Coturnix japonica: one gene and its partners. The protein of the gene in region 3 purifies or fractionates together with the protein of the main gene of each other region. This does not show direct contact. Links are inferred from orthologs where the notes say so. Each region holds a gene or a part of one and is shown on either strand. Other genes may lie near its edges. The genes, in order: NCBP3, PRPF4B and PNN.

What was found.
Region 1: the proteins of PNN (region 3) and NCBP3 purify together in Homo sapiens (co-immunoprecipitation; 3 studies listed by BioGRID and IntAct, counting the BioPlex papers as one, with this or other methods). This does not show direct contact. The link is inferred for Coturnix japonica from reciprocal best matches to the Homo sapiens genes PNN and NCBP3.
Region 2: the proteins of PNN (region 3) and PRPF4B purify together in Homo sapiens (affinity purification with mass spectrometry; 5 studies listed by BioGRID and IntAct, counting the BioPlex papers as one, with this or other methods). This does not show direct contact. The link is inferred for Coturnix japonica from reciprocal best matches to the Homo sapiens genes PNN and PRP4K.

What each region holds. Positions count from the first base shown.
Region 1 is NC_029534.1:3,961,727-3,965,269, forward strand, and holds part of NCBP3 (nuclear cap-binding protein subunit 3), read right to left. Parts: intron 2,757-3,543; coding exon 2,683-2,756; intron 1,744-2,682; coding exon 1,635-1,743; intron 893-1,634; coding exon 793-892; intron 475-792; coding exon 368-474; intron 1-367. UniProt on the Homo sapiens protein: Associates with NCBP1/CBP80 to form an alternative cap-binding complex (CBC) which plays a key role in mRNA export. NCBP3 serves as adapter protein linking the capped RNAs (m7GpppG-capped RNA) to NCBP1/CBP80.
Region 2 is NC_029517.1:63,504,321-63,508,661, reverse strand, and holds the start of PRPF4B (serine/threonine-protein kinase PRP4 homolog), read right to left. Parts: upstream 2,839-4,341; 5' UTR 2,744-2,838; coding exon 2,706-2,743; intron 497-2,705; coding exon 1-496. UniProt on the Homo sapiens protein: Serine/threonine kinase involved in spliceosomal assembly as well as mitosis and signaling regulation. Connects chromatin mediated regulation of transcription and pre-mRNA splicing.
Region 3 is NC_029520.1:34,113,771-34,117,782, forward strand, and holds the start of PNN (pinin), read left to right. Parts: upstream 1-1,205; 5' UTR 1,206-1,306; coding exon 1,307-1,419; intron 1,420-1,565; coding exon 1,566-1,637; intron 1,638-2,380; coding exon 2,381-2,449; intron 2,450-3,551; exon of another isoform or gene 3,552-3,762; coding exon 3,763-3,835; exon of another isoform or gene 3,836-3,855; intron 3,856-3,915; coding exon 3,916-4,010; intron 4,011-4,012. Other genes in the region: TRAPPC6B (trafficking protein particle complex subunit 6B), read right to left, coding at 29-96, 183-263. UniProt on the Homo sapiens protein: Transcriptional activator binding to the E-box 1 core sequence of the E-cadherin promoter gene; the core-binding sequence is 5'CAGGTG-3'. Capable of reversing CTBP1-mediated transcription repression.

The DNA of each region.
Region 1 (3,543 bases), on a different chromosome or scaffold from region 3:
TTGTAGTTGTTCAAGGCTAAAAAGAGAATACTTTGCCAAAATTCTAAGTGGAATCTGTCCTACAGAGTAATCTAAGAGGGAGAAAATCACTACAGGAGAAGAAAGCCCGTAGTGTTCCACTACCTCAGAATACTGCTCAAGCATGTAGCTGGACTCAAGGTATAAGGTATGACTGCCTCTTGCTGCAGGGGCAGTTCATACTGAACTAAACGTAACAATTCCTATCATCTTGCACAGCTTAATGTGACACCTGTTGGCTTATGAGAATCTTCTCAACTCCTGTAAGTAGTAATGCCAAAAATAATGCATCCAGCCCTCCACTCCCCCAGTTACACTTGCACAGCTTTGACACACTGTCAGCAATTACCAGAGTGCCGATGTTTGTAAGGAGGAGTCAGGCCAACATCATCCCCAATAAGCGTCCTTTTCTTTATCACATCCCGATGGATTCGACGTGAATGGTATCTCCGTTTCCTGAAACACCATAAGAAGAATGACATTCCTATCAAAAAGAAACGAGCTGTAACCAATCCTGGATTAAGCATGTGCAATTCTCACTCACTTCATAACAGACATTTATGCCTGAGAACTGTTCTGCATGTGTGTACTGAAAACTTTCTACCATCACAACAAAATATTCCCCTAGCAAATACATCATCGCTTTGCAGAAACATTATTCACACTTCAGATATATCTACAGAAACTAAAAGGAAAAAAAGATCAAGTCACAACAGCTTTGAACCACCTTGTCTGAGTATCTGCAGCCTCCCAATTCCTCCATCCCACACTCACCAAGAGTTACTAAGAATCCCCTTCATGCCTCCATAATTGGGATTGCCATATTTCATGTAATACTGGCTTCTCCTTGCAGCTCCCAGTTCTTTTTTGTCATCTGAAAAAAATATATGTTAAAAGAATATTTCTTTTCCTCTTTGAATTTACCTCACTAGCATCCAGTCAGACACAGAGAGAGAAAGGAAGACTGAGTTATCTCCTTACAGGTCCGTGGTATTTCAATTTCCTTCCCAAATGATACAATTTTGATGACACCTCAACTGAAATTTCTCCTACCACCACAGTTTTATTTGTGCCCAATTCCATGGAGACTCTGAGTTTCTGCATGTCAGCTTAAGGGAGCATTACACCCCAGTGCAACTGCTGGAGGCCACACTCACCTTATTCCTGACCTTTCTTTTCTTTATGGATCTGCCACCTTCCACATGGCTCAGTAATTACGTGCATTTTCATTTTATTCAAAAATACAATTTAATAACTCAGCTGCATTAAGTGACAATTTCCATCAGTACCTCATAAACATCACAACTGATTTTCAAGTTTATAACATGAAATTCACCTCTGTGGAGAAGTACACCATAAAACCTATTCTATGGTATTGGGAAGGAAGAATGCCCTAAACCCAAGATAATATTTTATGTACAATAATCTCCATAGAGCACGAACTGGATTTAATTCAAACTGAATGTGTATTCATAGCAAAATCTTAATACCTAATAATTAGCAAAAAACCTAACAGTTATGCAAATAAAAATTAGGTGCTTCAAGTAATTAATCAGTCAACAAATAAAACTGCAACAAGCAATCAATTCATTATGCTTGTTAAGCTGTTCATTTACCTTTAGTAGCAAATCTCATGAATAGCTTGTTTCCTTTAGCCAGTTTATTGGCAGGGCGAAGATCATTACGCAGGAGAGAATCCTCTTCTACCTGGGTGAGGGCATCCAACTTTGGGGGCAAAAAAGGTATTTTGGACTCAAAAATAAAATTACTTTTGAATGAAAATGGATTGCTCGCAGAGAAGCAATCCCTTGGTTATTAAATTACTTTCCATGTTCTGTTCAGACTAACTCCACTTCTTTCTTGACAAGTTATCACGTATTTTAAACTTTTTCTTGCCAAAAGGTTTAAAATATTTTTGTCTCTTCCTCCCTAACACTTGTTCTGATTATTAAATCAGTTCTCAAATGAAGCTGCAGTATGACTGCAATGAAGAAAATAAATAAACTCGGACACTGAAAAAGAAAGACTTGATTGCTTTTGTTTGTTTCATCTACAAATGGTTTCACCAATGGGGTCTCTGCCTTCACACAGTGACTTACAGGCATTATTGTTATTATTACTATTTATTTATAACTGCTTTCCATAAGCCAAAATTCAGATTTCCATAATCTGGGTGAATGTTTGCTGAGCCATCCCTAAAGAAAATACTAATGGCACCCATTATATAAATTCAACCAGTGAAGATTAAACTACTTACAAAACATCAGTGTGTTTGCTGACGCCCACACAAATCTATGGGCAGCCTAAGTCCCCTTTTTTTCCCTACTTTATACACTGTTTTCTATACTGAAAGGAAACTGCCTTCCACTATTGTTTTTTCATTATCTCCTTTAACAGGCAGGCAGGCAGTCTAGATAGAGCAGGCAGCCTAGCTCTTACATGCTGACTGCCCTATTAGTCTTCAAAAATTACTTTCACAAAGCATTTTTATGAGGCTATTCTCACCAGCAGAACATCTGCACTTCCTGCCTTTTTCTCCACCTTATTTCCTTCAATAATTAAACTGTAAATTATGAGCATGTATGGTAAAAACTATAATGTCACGAATACATCAGTGAGAGCAAAATGTCCATAATGGGGTTTTCATTTTCTTTCTATACTGACCTCAATGTCACTTGGATTTTCATCCTCAACCTCGCCTTCTTCTGTCTCATCATCAGTACTTTCCTCCTGTTTTTCTAAAGAAGAAAATAATTGGGAAAAGAAATCTACATTTTAATGTTCCAGTTCATTTGAATATTAGTATCTAAAGTCTCTGAAATCAAACTGAAGGGGTTTATCAATTCCTCTGTGCAGCCTAGAGAGTAATCAAAACAGTGAATGTCTACAGAAATCTGAAGCACACATGAGCACAGAATAACATTAACCAGACAGCCCCCATACAGGTAAGTGCCGGAGGCAGCGTGCACGGATTATCAATTTACTTATCTGAAAGCAAATGAAACTGCACTGCAATTTCAAAGTATGACAGAGATCAGCAAAGACAAGACTGCAAAACGTGGATCAAAGCCTGTTTCCTTCCACCTCCCTTCTAAATGCTGCAAGTACCTACAGGTATCCAGTACTCACAATGTGAAGCAGGTTACTACTCAAAGTAGGGAGGGCAGTGACTCAGTTCTGAAGTGAAATAGCTAACAGAGGAGCACACACTTCCCAAACTACATATACTATGTGTTGTCTAAATAGGTTTTTCAGGTTTTCTTTTGTTTGGTTTTCTTTTGGCTCACAGAAGAAAATTATTACGGAAATTGTTTTTGAGCCTCCCAAAAAGACACATGACTAAAAAACCCACCTCTATATTTCACAGTTCCTTCTCTTAAATCTCCTCTGACTGAACTTGACAACTTCTAATAGAGAACCACAGCTATTAAAACTTGACAACTACACCCAAGTTCAAGGGAAAAACTAAAGCACAATGAATCAATCTGATCCCAAAAAGAACTTCAGGAGACAAATTAGCCAAAA
Region 2 (4,341 bases), on a different chromosome or scaffold from region 3:
ACTAGCTTTATTTTCCACAGGTTCTAATTTCCCCTTAGTGTTTGACTTAGCCGCGGGTCTGGTTCCATTTCGCGCCTTTTCATTAATTTCCCCCTCTTCTTCAGATCCCGACTCATAACCTTGTAATATTAATCCCATACCGGACTGGACTTTGCCTTCCATTAACTCATTTTCAAGTTCAGCTTTCAATAAAGCCCTTTGTTTCTCCAAATCTTCCAGAGGAGCTAAAAAATCAATTTTAGTTCTTTTTGCTGGTCCATCTTCCTTGTCGGAGGTATCGGCTACCTCTTTCCGTTTATGTTTCTTATGTTTGTGTCTGTGTTTATGTTTTTTGTCCTTATCTTCCTCTGAAGAATGTTTATGTTTCTTGTGTTTACTTCGGTGTTTGTGTTTCTTTTTTTTGTGCCGGCTGTGCTTGTTCTGAGGTTGATCTGCTTCTGACACTTCCCCATTCTCTTCATTTGTACTCTTCTCAGATGCGTTAGCATCCTCAGCCCTGCAAAAGAGATAAAAACTACCCATCAGTATCAGCAATTCACAGCAGCCCTTAAATTCAGGTTAGTTTGATGGCCTCTTTTGTGATAGAAGCTAACTGGTATTTAATTATCTGCTTTTGGAGAATTAGAAATGCACAAGCAACGTAATGAAGTTGTAAGAGTGGGTGTAGTTTGGCACAGACAGACAGCTATGACTGCAAAAAAGAACTACTAGCTTATGAAGATGGAGCAAATACATCAACAAAACAAATCACGCAGGTGAAACCAATGCTTCAGGTTATGGTTCAGCACTGCCAGTATTTGGTAATAGCATACAACAGTATTGCGCACTTATACCTCCCGTTAGTCCGCTATCTGTCTTATTTACTGCTCAATTCCTATGCCAAACCCAAGCCATGTCCTCTACAAGTACTTTCAAAAGATAGAGAGCAGTTGTCCCCCAGAGATCAAAACTTATTTCAAGGGATGATTCTGACCCCCTAAGTAAACCATCCCACGCAGTCTCACGCACAGCAGGCTGACTCTCTTAATTATCATTCCTATCTGTGTGTACACTTGTTAAGACAACATTATCCTGCATTTATATATGCAGAAACAGTATAAATTAAGAACAACTAATTTCGGAAAAGCTTTCCAATAGAATCCAGAAGCCTGTGAGCTTCCTGAGGGAAAAAACAATTGTTCTCTTTAGATCTGTAAAATGGCATTGGACAAAAACAAAGAGAAAATGAAATCAATTACCAGCTACAGCGAGATGAATATCTGCCTTTTAAAATCTGCAGCCAAATCACCTCCTAGATGCCAGTAATGCCTTTCTGCAAACTCAGCCCACCTGCACTAGTTTTGGAACTCGCTCTGGTATCTTAAATACCGCTTCATCCCCAGCCTTGTTCACTGAGGGGAAGTTCACGGGGTGTGATGGTCACAGCGGTGGTGAGATGCACACAGAAATGTAGAGATACCCTCACAACACCGCTAGCTTCATCCTGCAGAGGTCTCTGAAGGATACGACCAATGATCCATTGTCATAGTCGTATCAGAATTATTCTTTACCAAATAAAGGATGAAACCACACTACGAATTCAATTAGCGTCCTCCTCATTAAGGATCCTCAAGCAGTACAGTTAATAATTATCTCCTATGTGAGCTCTTGAGAATCCTCCTTCTGACAGCATTAAATCACAGAATGGCTTATGCTGGAAGGGACCTTAAAGCCCACCCGGCCCCAACCCCCTGCTGCGGGCAGGGCTGCCACCCGCCAGATGAAATAGTTCAGAGCTACTCCATGCTCAGGCACTGATTTATTTCACGTAACTCTATCCAAACACAGACAAACTTTTAATTCGTTTAACTGCTCCGTAGCCGTGATTACATGGAAGAGAAATCTTGTAAGCGAATTTCAGAAGGTGATGAGGCCACGAGGTACCCACACGCTTCTGTAGCAGGAGTTATGACATCTGTGTGAGAGCCCTAACTTTCCTTAATGTTTTGAGATTTAAGGCAAGGATCTACATAAGTTTAGGAAGATTTGCAGAGATTTTACCTATTCACTCCCTACCTTCGGGCTTTCTATGCAAATCGTTACTTTATTCTCTTTATTTACGGATCCCGAGCGATGCCGAGGAGCCCGAAGTCACAGAATCACAGAATGCCCCGGGTTGGAAGGGACCTCAAGGATCATGTAGTTCCAACCCCCCTGCCTAGCAGGACAAGTCGGAGCCCGAATGCAGCGCGCAGCCCCCCGGAAGGAGGGGCCGGCAGCGACAAATCGCTTCTTGCTCCCAGCGACGCCTTCACTCTTCGTACCGCGAGAACCCGCGGCTCGTGGCGCTGGGCTCGGCAGCCTCAGCAGCGGAGCGGCCCGGCCGGGCCCAGCGGGGCGGGAGGCACACGCCACCGGAACACGCGCCGCTCCCGGCGCTGCTTCCCCTCCCCCGCCCCGCCGTCCATCGGCCGAGCGGCCTCACCCCGCTCCCCGCAGCACACCGGGCCGCGAACGGCTCCTGCAACCGCGTTCGCAGCCCTGTCCGCGGAGCGGCTGCCCGCCGCCCTTTCCTTCCCTCCTTCCCTCCTTCCCCACGCCGCCTCCGGCCCAGCCACCCCGCTACCCGCCGCCCCTTCTCGGCGCTGGGGCCGCTCTCCGCCTCCCCCCACCCCGAGTTGCCGCTTCGAGCTGCCGCCCCGCCTGCCCTCCCGCCCGTCCCTTACTCAGTCGCTCGCTGTTCAGGCTCCGCCGCGGCGGCCATTTTGAACTTCCAAACTCCTTCGCTGCCGCTGGGGAGACGCGGGGCCGCGGCGCAGGCGCAGCCGAGCGGCCGGGAGGGGTTGGGGGATGGCGGGGGGGCGGCAGCCGGAAGCGAACCCAGAGCGCGGGGCGGGATGAGAACCGACGGCACCGCCCTCTGGCCCGGGGAGCGCGGGCGGCCGTAGGGAACGAATAGGGAGAGGGGCTGCGCTGGTGCTGCTCCGTTGGCTGTGGTTAAGACGGCTTGGAGGGGACTCTAAATATTCTAATGCTGGTTTGCACACCGGCACCGCCTGAAGATGAATGAATTTAATTGCGAACGCCGTCTGCGAAGGCGCTGCTACCCCGCTGTGTCTGAGGGCTCCCGACCCACGTTGCTGGCCCGGTACAAGCGTTGCTTGCTCCAACATCAGAAGCAAGATCATAGCACACCTGGTGCTATACTCAAAGTCAGGCTGGACGGGGCTTTGAGCAACCTGATGTACTGCAGGTGTCTCTGTTCATTGCAGGGTGTTGGACTAGATGGCCTGCAAGGATCCCTTCCAATTCAAATGGCTCTATGATTCTGTGTCAGACATCAGTCAGTCCTAGCGTGGACCGAGATGAAAGCATGTCGTATAGCATAAGAGATGAAGTTAACCAAGAAAATAAAGAAGATGTATGTCTTGTTGCCACTGTTGATGTCGGATGCTGTGATATGAGCCTGGGGAGTCAGAGCACTAATTCACCTGGCCCTCGCTCTTGTGAAGCCATGAATTCATGTTCAGAGAAGAAACAGAGTGGTTTCAGCTTGAGGAGCCCCAGCCTGCAGCATCTGCTTCTCTTTCAAACTCCGTGGGCTTGAACAAAAGAACAAAGGTGAAGAAGCAACCCAGGCTATTACACCTTTAAGCCTGTGTCATGTTTCCAGCGTTAGATCTCAGACTATGGTTTGTCTCCTAAAGCTAAACTGAAGGCTGAAAGTTGCAAAAATCAGAAGGAAGCTAGATGTAATGGTAGATGGTTAACTCATCCCATGAAGGATGTCTGCACCTTAAAGCTGGGTTCTGAAAGAGCCTAAATCCTGGGAAGGTGCTGTGATGTGGATTGAACTGGGTCCTAATGGAAAGTCTGTAAAACTTACCCAAGCAGATGCAAGTAACTTAGCAGGGCTTCCTCCATGGAGGTGTTTTCTGTCATCAAATGCCTGGAAATGGCACAAGAATTCCTCCAGGGGAAACTTCACCTCCTTTGGTGCAAGAAGGATTCATCACCGCTTGAGAATGAGCAGGTGAGATTTTGCTTTTCCGTGAGCAGATTTGCCCGTGTAAAACCATGAGTTTAGTGCTTGCCTTGAACTTGCTGATTAATCTCTTGAAAAATCTGCTTGCAGGGGTAACTGAATGTTTTTCTGCTTACATGGTTGGTGTTACAGATGATCTGCAGTGACTGTTATGGCTAATAGAGACCATAGAATCATTACTAAGATTAACTTGTCCATCTATTGTGCCTGCTGACCTGTATTCCTTAGCGATACATCTATGGTTTATTAAGCGCCTCTAGGGATAGTGACTCTGCCACATCCCTGGGCAGCCTGTTTCAGTACCTATTTAGATGTTT
Region 3 (4,012 bases):
CGTGCCAATTACAGAACTACACACCCACCTCTCGATCAGTCCCTGCCCGACGCGGAATCCCATGCTCTCCAGTTTGGTGGTGCAGCGGCCGTTCTCCTGCAAGACACAAGGGCGGCCGCCGCCTCAGCCTCGGGGCCGGCCGCCGCCTGACGGCCTCTGGGGCGGGCAGCGGCCCCACTCACCCCTTCGCCTTGCTCGGCGGCGCGGTACAGCCCCGCCACCATCTCGTTGTGCAGCAGCAGGAACAGCGCCTCGTCCGCCATGGCCGCTCCCCTACGGGCGGCCCCCGCCCGCCGTCACGGCAACGGCCCGCAGCCAACGGGAGCCGCTGCGCTGCGCTGCACCGCCCCTTCCGGGAGCGGGAGGGCTCGGGGCCGGGACTGGGAGAGGCGGAGTGATTCTGGGGCGGGTATGAGAGCGGGGAGAGCGCTGATGTGCGGTGTGTTTGTTTTACATCGCCTTCAAAGCGGCACTTTATGTTCAACCCCCATTTTCTGCCTCTGTAAGATGGCAACCGGTGTGTGCCCCGGTGGCGCAGTGGTTAAAGACGCCGCCTTGCAACACTGGGGCCCGGGGTTCGAATCCCCCCTGTGGCGCAAGTGATAGAAGTGCCGCTCTGCTACACAGAGGCTCGAATCCCGGGGGTTGGACTCGATGATCTCTAAGGTCCCTTCCAACCCGCACGAGACTGTGAGACTATGAGAAACCGGCGGGGTGCAGCCTGAGCGGCCGCAGCCAAAACGGCACCGTGTGCAGTGAGAACGGCGGGCAGCGGAGGGCGAACACAGCACAGTACAGTACAGTACAGTACAGCGCAGCGCAGCGCCCCGCGTGCTGCCCCGTTACACGGGATCACGTTACGCCGCGCGGGAGCGTACAACGCGGCTGCCCGCTGTAACGCCCCTCCTGATTGGTCCGTCAGGCACAGAGGCTGTGGTAGCTCGAAGGTGATTGGCTCCCACCGCAGCAAAGCGACGAAGTAACTTCTCGTTAGCCACGAGAGACGTCGCTCTGGCCCTCCCGCTTTGTGATTCGCAGAGCTGGCAGGCAGCGGCTCTCGGTGATTGGCTAAGAAAGATGTCAGTCTGTCTCTGAGCTTTGTGATTGGTGGCCGAGTGCAGAGATTCTTCCCACGGGGGCGTACCCTCTCTCTTGCAGCTCGCCTATTGGCTGTCGGCGTTACCCGCCGCGGGGCTATTGGCTGCGCCGTCCGTTCCCTCGCGGAGCCGAGTGTTGGCTGCCGGGCGGGGCCTGTCCCGCCGTTACCCAGCGGTGCCTCGCGCCGTGCCCGGCTAGGCCGCGCGGGATGGCGGTGGCGGTGCGTGCGCTGCAGGAGCAGCTGGAGAAGGCCAAGGAGAGCCTGAAACACGTGGATGAGAATATCCGCAAGCTCACGGGCCGGGACCCCAACGATGTGAGGTGAGGGCCGGCTTACCGGGCTCCACTCGAGGAGGCCGCCCCCGCACCCCCGGCGCCACCCCGGGCCGTCGGGTTGCGGCCCCGCGGGGGGTGGGAGGGCGGCGATGGGCCGGGCGGTGCCGCTGAGCGATGTGCTGTGTTCACAGGCCCCCGCAGAACAGACTGCTGGCCCTCTCAGGCCCTGGTGGAGGTAGGGGGCGAGGGAGCTTACTGCTGAGGTAAGGACATGCGGCTCTGCTGCTTTATCGCGACTCCGGGTTGTTATCTTTGCGCGTTCTGTGTGCCGGCTTTGATCCGTGTGTTCACCGTAAGGGATCGGGAGCTGGAACAACGCAGTCAAGTGGGAGGCCTGCGGGAGCGCCCGGGGGTCCATAGCGGTGCCTGCAGTGCCCGGTTTGATCTTGGTGCCTTTTGGTGCGATTCCAGCTGTTAGCCTTAAAGTTAAGGAGGACCTCCAGAATGAAGGGAGGTGCGCTCTGGTGTCCTGGGCCTCCTTCCTTTGAAGTGGTGCAAAATCACTGTCTTGGTAATTAAGAAACTGGTGGTGTTTCAAAGGAGAGTAGAAAGAATGGAAGTCACCGGGATTCATAAAACTCACATAGGGGGATTTCCTTTGTGAATTTACCTTTTCTGCCCTCTTTTATTTCTCAGCTCCATGGTAGAGCCAGAATCAAGAACAGACTCATGTTCAGTAGTTTCTTCTTACCTGAGTACATGGGACGTTTCTTTAATTCTTTTAAATTTCAATATCAAATTGTTGCTGAGGCCTTAACACTTAAGAAAATGAAACTTCTTGAACCTACTGAGGTAGCTTGAGTGCAGCAGCTCCTCTGAATAACTTTAAATGGGTTGATTCACAAACAGTGCATTTAAATACATTATTACTGCAGTAACGTTGAATGAGTATAGAATTGAGTAAAAAGTGTGCCTTGTTCAGAGATCACGAGTGGTTTCCTTTCAGGCGTGGATTCTCGGATAGCGGAGGAGGACCCCCAGCCAAACAGAGGGATATTGAAGGGGCATCCAGCAGGTGGGTGGAAAGATGGATGTGGAGACCCTGCTTTTACTGTGATTCTTGCACAGTGGAGATACTTAAATGTATAATTCTTTCTTTCTTTCAAGGGCTTATGTTGCCTGTGGAATCATGGGGGAGAGAACCATATGGGGAATTAAATAATTCTGTATATTTATGAAGGGCAGAAAACTCAAAGGTGTTGAAATCTGTAGCAAGTGCTGTAGTGAAGAGCACTTTTCATCCTTTAGGGAGGGAATTTCTTGTTCCTCATCCATTCTGCACGAAGCTCCTCCTTTAACTTTGTGGGCGTATTTGATGCAGGCTGTAGTGTATTCTTCAATTTTCTGAATATAGTTACAGCGTTAGATGCCAAATTCTAAAAGCCTGATTAAAAAACTTATGCTAAGCAAAGCAGAAAACTTATGCAGAATTTAATACAGCAGACTGCAATATTAGCCCAGACTTGTTTAACAGTAGACACAAATCGTGACTGGGATTTCCCTTTCATTAATCTTAATACCTCCTGTGTGACAGTTTGTGCAGAAATTGGAGGCTTTCCCAACTGGATGCAGATCCATCAGATGTGGCTTTGGCCATAGGGAGCTGCATTTTTCTGAGTACTTAACATGCAGTGGTAAATCTTGACAAAAGCAATACTTGCTTTTGAATTTTTGATTTATACAAAATATATATTGTGAAATGCTTTACTGGCAGCAAACTGCTATGCCCCAGAGCAAAAGCTGAGAATAAGTTTAATACATTACTGAGCTGTTATGTGTTAAAAACCTCAGGTTATCCAAGGGCTCAGGTCCCTGCTAATTGCTTTGTCTGTCCTTAACTGATTTTCAGGTATTTGCCTAGGTAACCTCAATAGCTTCTTGAATTTGAGAAAATCTTAATCTCCATATCTTAGAGTTAGGGTACTATGAATAGGCTGAGGCTGGACTTGATGATCTTTGAGGTCTTTTCCAACCTGAGTAATTCTATGATGCCTTGATGCTTCTAAATCAAACTCATATTTCTCTTACCCAAATAAACGTTTTAGATACTCTGGAAAAAGAAAAGCTCAAATGAAACAAAATCCAAAGCTGTGCTAAAAAGTCAAATAGTGCAGTAATGTGGGTTCATCATTTTTACTTTAATACCAAAGTTATATTAAAACTTAAATCACTTTTCTCACCTGCTACATTAAAAAATTTATCTCTTGCCACTCTTCTGATCAACGGTTTATGGGGATTGTTGATTCTGATGACTATATATGCTGACTTGTGTAGATGCTGTTGTTAATGCATGTTCTCCAGTGGCCAGTAATGCTTTTTATTCCTCAGGCTGGGTGGAGAGCGTCGGACCAGAAGAGAATCACGCCAAGAAAGTGACGGAGAGGATGATGATATTAAAAAGGTAACTCACAACAAAGGGAGCTGTGCAGGAAAAAAGAAAACGTTTACATGAACTGAGTTGTTTGTATTTCTCCGTTGTAGCCAGCATTACCATCTTCTGTTGTTGCTACCTCCAAAGAGCGAACACGTCGAGACCTTATACAAGATCAAAATATGGATGAGAAAGGAAAACAAAGGT